Oryctolagus cuniculus: one gene and its partner. The protein of the gene in region 1 interacts with the protein of each later gene in a pairwise test. Links are inferred from orthologs where the notes say so. Each region holds a gene or a part of one and is shown in the gene's direction. Other genes may lie near its edges.

Region 1 (4,167 bases):
TGCACAGTTTTATGATTATACTGAAAACTATTCAATTGTTCATGGTAAATTTAATGGTAAGTGAATTGTAATGTCAATAACAATTTCTAAAAAGAGGGGACTTCACAGAGACCAGTAATGAAAATATACCATGAACCCAAGAATGGCATTTGGACCTCTGGGCCTGGAGCCTAGGGAGAAAGGCAGATAAAATTGAGTTTGAGCAAATGTGTGGGAAAGATGTCTCTCATCCATTACTGGTGTCAGTATGAACTGGCACATTTATTTGAGTAGGCAATTTAGTGGCATCTATCAAAAAAGATAAAGCACATACCCTATGATCCAGCCCTCTCATTTCTAGAAACTTAAAATCGGTGTGTGGCTGGCACCATTAGCACTCAGTAAACGTTCTTTCCTATTATGAAGACGATCATCATGGGGAGAGATCATGGATTATGCAATCGGCTCGAGCAGCCAAACTCAGCCTTCAGTTCTTTTTGGAAAAGTAATACTGCAGCCTTCATACCGTCATGCGGCGTGGTCATGAACACTTTGCTCTTTTAACCTTTGCAAGCTGCATCAAGTGGAAACGAAATTCACCCCATTAGGGTCTTGTTTCCAGGTATCTGGAGCACACTGCTAGCACAAAAGTATAAAGCTCATGTAGCATTATAACTTCTTGATTAACAGGACCTAGAGGACTGATAGTAGGGTGGGGGAAAGGAAGTAAAGCCTAAGACTTGGTCAAACCCCTTGAAGCTGCAGAATTGGCAAAAAACATTCGGAGGTTTCTGCGAAGCCTCATGAAACAGACCAGTCATTATGCAGTGATGGGCAAGAGCAATGACTTTCAAAAGAAGCTCCTGAAGGAAGCGGTGTCTTCTGCTCCTTTAGTTCTTTCCACAAATGGTGACACCTCCTTCCGTGCTGTCCTCCTTGTTGCTATTTGTAAACACTGTAAGGAGTTCTATCATGCAGGAAAAACCCAGGAGAGGAAAATTATGTCCATCTACTTTTCCAATTAGTCATGCCAGGCTTCTCAGTCTGGGAAGACATTCCCTGAAATCAGCTTGCCCAAACTACGGGCAAACACCAAGCAAGAAGAAATAGCTTCTGAAATCTACCCCACAACCAGGAAGGGGACCAAGGACAGCTCCCCTGGAGCTGGTCCGACGGAGGCATGAGGGGAGTATCCATCAACTCACCTGCTAACCACTCCAGGCTTCACCTGCCAGCTCCACAGCGTGGTGAGACACTGCAAGGACCCAGTGATTGTGACATCAGCAAATGGCCTCATGCACGTGCTAACCCATGAGCTTCCTGGCAGGGACACCACTGGTGAGAGCCTCCTAACAGCCAACTTCTTGCAACTCTCAGGCTGACGGCCTCACTGGGTTGGGGGAGGAGGGACACCTCCACTGAGAACTGGCAGCAGGATTCTGGTAGAGGAGACACCAAGAGCCACGGTGGGGACGTGGTAATCATGTAGGGGCCATGGAGACTGCTATGTGCGTTTGCTCGCCATGTTGTACATGGCAAAGATGTTGTCCTCAGCTATGCTCCTGTCTGTGCTGCAAGTTCATCTTCACCTCGGAGAGGAACTGCACCTGCTTCCCCTGCCCATACAAGGATGAGCGGAACTGCCAGTTCTGCCACTGCACCTGCTCCGATAACCCCAACTGCCACTGGTGCTGCTGCTCCTGGGCCAATGATCCCAACTGCAAATGCTGCTGCACGACCAGCAGCAATCTCAAGTGCTACTACTATGAGAGCCGCTGCTGTCGCAATGCCACCATCACCTTCCGCAAGGGCCGTCTCAAGAGCATCCGCACCTCGTAAGTGAAAACTGGGAACTCAGTGCCAGCTGGGGGCCCACAGGGTGGGCTGGTAACCCCTGGGTTCATTTCTCTCTGTGGGAAAAGGAAGCCAGGAATTTTGTAGCAATTGAGTATATCCTCATATACTAACCATGTAGCAATTAAGTATATCCTAGTATACTAACCAGTATAGACTCTAACTTCCAAATTGAAAATCCATAAGGTGTGAATGCTTACAGCACTCTTCTGAACCACAACTCTCTCATGGGTGCAAAGTACTCAGAGCCAATACTCAGTGCTTAAGCAACTTGCCAGGCACTGCATGGGAGACCCTGGGGAACCCTCCTCTCCCTGAGCCCACTGGACCCAGCAACAGAGCCTTTGAGAGGTGAAGCCACCTGGGTTGACACAGCTAGCATGATGCAGAGTCAGGATTTGAACCCAGAAGCCATTATTTTAAATTTCAAGTGTTGTGTTGCAAAATGGAGAGGCCCTGTGAGGACTGATGTGAAATTCATGGACAGTAGAGTTCAGACATAAGTTGATTTGGGTGCAAAGTTGTTCATGATCCGCATTTTCCATGAATTTGTTGAGGGCTCTTTGCATGTGCTTTGTAACCTGATAGGTGACATAAAAATATAAATCGCTCTTCCCCCTGCTACTGTGAACTCTTGATATATGCAATGTTTCTTGGAAAAGTAAGAATTTCCAAGGACCAGTTTTGAGCCTGATGACCTGTATTCACCTGAGTGCCCCAGACACATCTGAACTCCCGTTGGCCTCCTCGACTTTCCCATGGAGAAGTCATGGTGCTTTGGGCCTCCAGGTGCTCACTGGGGGCATTAGTCATCCCCACTAAGCACTGTATAACCTCTTCCTACTCTACCGAGTCAGTCTTCTTCTGTCCCTGTGAGAGGAGCCTGGTAAGGACAGACTTACTCAGCACTGTGAGATGAGTGGACTAGGAGAGGCTGAACAATAGGAAGCAAGTCTGAAGGCCTTCAAGGCTGCATCAGCAATTCTACCAACAAAGGTTTGGTGGACTCAGGGCAAGAATGTAAGATCCATCTTGAGATTAGGTGCTTGGTAGGGGCGTAGGAAACATGAGTTTCCGTGCACGGCCCTCTCTGGTGCTTGCGGGAATCCAGGGACTCTAGTGGCAAGTCCAGAGGTTCCAAGGTGTGGAAAGCAGTGGCCACACCCCTCTCTCTGGACACGCCCGTTCTCCAAGCACCAGCCACGGAGAGCCACAGAGCCCATTCCAGGAGGGATGAAACTGCTGCTTTGGGAAAGTGGCTTTGGCATCAGTGGTTCCCAAATTTCTATGCATTTGCAATCATGCAGGGATCTTTAAAAATACCTAAGCCTGGTCCACTGCCTCCCCAAAACTCTGAATGTTATTGGCCTGGGGTACCACCTGGGCATCAGAATTGTATAAGGCCCATCCTGTTCAGGTGATTCCAATGTGCAGAATGGCCTGCGGGAGCAGGAAGGGAAGCTAGGAGACTTGCCAGGAGAGACAGTGAGAATCCAGGGGCAAGGGGACCAGGCCTGAACTGGGGAGAGTGAGGAGAAAGGACCAGAGGCAGATAGTTTAGCAGGAAGACCAGGCTGCTGGGCCTGGCAGCTGGGCATGGATCCCTGGCTACTGAACACCTTGTCCACACCTGAGGCTTCTGCAGGCTGGGCAGGGATGCACTTGACAGCTTCAGGAGGCATTGTGCCTGTCTTCTCCCTGGCCCCTCCCCTGGGTCCTGAAGCCCTGCCTCCCTGCTGCTCATCACCGCCTCCTGCTGAGCAGTTACAGCCACTCACCTCTCTCTGCTCTCGCCTGTCCCGCTCAGCCATACTCATTTCCTCACCTCCATTCCTACCGCTGCCACAGCTCCCTAGGCCATTGACACCTGTCTCTGAACCCTGTGCTCATTCTCTCTCCCTTCCCCCCCACCTCCCTCCATCTCCCTGATTTCTTTGGCTGACACCTGTCATAGTACGCCCTGGTTCTCAGAGTCCCATTTTTTTTAAATCAAACTCAAGAAGTCCATCCAGCCTCCATGTGTTATCCTTTACCACTCTTGATGACTCCAGGCAGGAGGCTAGGATGGCACAGTGGAACCAGCTGAGAACATCAAGGCTGGTGGGCTACAGCCCAGCATCCAAACCCTGAGAGGTGGGCCTTCCAGGCACCCGAGGGTGACTCCATCCCTGTGTGCCCAGGAGGCCCCTCTGAGAGCCTGGACTCTGAGGCCCAGGACCCCACCCAAGGGAGTGGGGATGGAGACAGGGCCATGCTCCTACAGGGAAAGCAGAAAGTCAAAAGCAGATGGAAACAGCCTCGAGGTCAGGACCAACATCCGAACATTCCTAATGC
Region 2 (3,137 bases), on another chromosome or scaffold:
ATCTATTAATATTCAGTAATACTAATAGCTATGGCTTAACTGGAAAGAAAAAACTCACTCCTTGTTCACCTTCTTAATTACTCCTTCTGTATTTTTCAAACCTTCCAACAGAAGTAAAAAGTCACAGGTCCCACCACACAGTGGGGTGCATGGGTTCACAATGATACATTGTATCCTGTAGAAAGAACTAAGAGAGGAGCTGGCAGGTTCCAGACATGAAGGCAGGGAAATGAAAAGGCTAATTGCCTTGTTTGATCGGCTGGCTCTATACATATATGGGTTGCAATTTTGCACTCTACCCCATGAAAATGTATGCATTTTACACCCCAAAATGTGCTTTTGAATGCAGTTCCCTGGATCTATTTCTCCCACAGGTTTATCACATTTCCAGAAACACGTGGTTCAAAATGGAGACCAGGATGATCAAGAACGTGTGTGCCCCGGCAGTGGTGCTGGGGGAGCGGATCGTCATTGTGGGAGGTGAGTGTGAACAGACAGCCGGGCGACTCCTGGGACAATGGCTCTCTGACAGACAGGTGCACAGCCAACCCGAGAAAGCCCTCTCCTTACCCAGAACCATCTCCCTGTCTTTCTGTACAGAAGGGACAAAGTCATGCCTACTTCCTAGAGTTATGACAATAAAGCATACTGCTGTGGCTCGAGCTCTTAGCATACCGCAGACACACAGCAACAGAAAACTATCTGCTGTTGTTGCTAACACTGGCCACTGACAGATCTGTAACATCAGCTACCAATACTAATAATACTGGCTACGAACACACTGGTACCGTTGGCTATCAGGATCAATAACACTGACTACTACTGGATTTCTCTGTAACTGCAACACAGTGCTGTGGTTTAAAGGACTGGTTTTGGCATCAGATAGATCTGGGTTCAATTCCTGACTCTTCCACTAACTGGCTATATGCTCTTTGGCACGTTACTAGGCTTTCTTTGCCTCAGTTTGCCATCAGTAAAATGGGGGTCCTCTAAGTACCCACCAGATAGGGCTACTGTGGCCACCTATTTCTGATTTCCAAAAGGAAGACTTCTTCCTCTGGGTTGTTCCAGCTTTTGGACAGGAGTATGAGAGGGAGAAAAACCAGTGAGGCTGAGAAAGCTACTAGAACTGAGAGGTCGCTCCTAATCTAAAGGTGGTTGATATGTGGCCTTAACTTGGGGTGAAGGATGCAGGAGCCAGGCTCAGCCAGATCTGGGCCCCAACCCCAGCTTTGCCACATACCACGCCATGGCAGCGTAGCTCAGCGGCCCACGCTGTAGCTGAGGATTGCCGCAGCCTCAGGGCAGGGCAGGGGAGGGAGCTGGCTGCATCCCAGTTGGATGTGGAGGGGACTGGGAAGTAGAAGGGACCAGCTAACCTCCCAGCCCAGACGAGCAACACTGAACTGCCCGTGCGCCGTTGCGTTTTCAGGCTACACAAGGAGGATTCTTGCTTATGACCCTCAGTCTAACAAATTCGCCAAATGCGCGGACATGAAAGACCGGAGGATGCACCACGGGGCCACGGTGATGGGGAACAAGCTGTACGTGACGGGCGGGCGGCGGCTGACCAGCGACTGCAACATCGAGGACTCCGCCTCCTTTGACTGCTACGATCCCGAAACAGACACGTGGACGTCCCAGGGACAGCTGCCTCACACACTCTTTGACCACGCCTGCCTCACTCTGCAGTGCCTGCCCCACACAGCCTCCAGAAGCCTCCTGTCTTAGTCAAGATGCTTCCTGTCGCAAGGGACAGAAACCCAGCTCCACAGGGCTTCGCCCTACAGGGATTCAGGGAGAGTCCACAGGACTAGACCTGGAGCCCCGGACCCACACATACTGATGCCACAGACACACACCTCGCCTGGGCCCCGCTTCTTCCTTAGTCTGCCTCCTCTCCTTCTGCCTCTATTTCTCTCTCTCTGAGCCTGTCTCTGCCTTCCCCTCTCTCTGCCTCTTTGTCTCTGCCTCTTTGTCTCTGCCTCCCCACCTTCTCTCCATTAGGCTTCAGTCTCTAACAAGCATCTTCACCCACACAGTGTGCGGACAACGACCCCTGGGAAATCCAGATTGACGTGCTGTAGCTTTGCATCTTCAGGAGCAAACTTGACCCTTACCCACATAGTCACAAAAAATAAACAAATAATGCCGACGGGCCCTTTCTGAACCCCATCCCTACCTCTGGAGCCAACACTGTGGCCAGTTATTTTCCCACTGTAAGATGGGTCCCGGACCACATCCCCCTGGGCAGAGATGTGTGAACTGTTGTGGATAACGGCCCATCTGAACTGCAGGTAATGGGATAGCAGCAGTTCCCCAAACCAAGAAATTCTGGGCTAACAAGAAACGTATCTGCCCAGGGCTCCACTGCTAAGGATCCCTGGGAGCGCTTAGGACAGGTGGCAGCGTGAGAAATGGCCGTGGCTGTATCTCGCCACGTTCTGTGGATGGACTACCTTGCAATGCCAGGAAACGTGCACTGAACATTGAGAATCTAGTGTTTAGAAAGCAGTCCTGCCCTGCCAGAATAAAGATTGCTTCTGGTGCCAAACGATGTTTTCCTCCAGCCTCTGGGGAACCATAAACCTGCAGAATTAATCAGGATTTTCATTTTGGTAAATGTTATGAGAATTGCTCTTCAGGGGAAAGCGAACAGATTCCTCAGAAATTGCAGCAAGCATTGCCCTCCAGGCGCCAGCCCTGACTGTCCCCAGAGCCCCCTTTCCCCTCAAGCCCCTCCCAAACTGGGGAGTCAGCACTACCCACAGGTACCATCACCTGGAAAGAGGTTTGAACAGGGGGCCAAGCTCCCCTGCAAACAGATGCATGGGGAGTCTCACAGGTGGGGCCCAGGACTCTGCATTTTGGGACTGCTTCCCCAGATGATGGTAATGTGCCATCAGGGTAGAGTCACCATCCTGGTCAGCTGGGGCACTGAGAACCTTCCTCGCTGGTACCACTCCCATCCCGCCTTGGCCATGCCCAGCAGTGTAGGCCAAGTCCTTGCCCATGGACAGCAGCACGTGGCATGGGTCTTGCCGCCCAGAGTGGCCCCCACAATGCTGCCTGCCTCCCCACCCAGCTCTCCAGGTCTGTGCTGTGCTCCTCTTTTCTGCCCAGCTTGTGTTCTTCGT

The links. The genes of interacting proteins can lie anywhere in the genome.
Region 2: the proteins of TRIM42 (region 1) and KLHL38 interact in binary tests that used the Homo sapiens proteins (3 or more experiments, as listed by UniProt). The two-hybrid records come from large-scale screens. The link is inferred for Oryctolagus cuniculus from reciprocal best matches to the Homo sapiens genes TRIM42 and KLHL38.

Annotation. Positions count from the first base shown.
Region 1 is NC_091435.1:141,105,177-141,109,343, reverse strand, and holds the start of TRIM42 (tripartite motif-containing protein 42), read left to right. Parts: upstream 1-1,284; 5' UTR 1,285-1,473; coding exon 1,474-1,814; intron 1,815-4,167.
Region 2 is NC_091437.1:149,368,181-149,371,317, reverse strand, and holds the end of KLHL38 (kelch-like protein 38), read left to right. Parts: intron 1-374; coding exon 375-480; intron 481-1,432; coding exon 1,433-1,731; 3' UTR 1,732-2,554; downstream 2,555-3,137.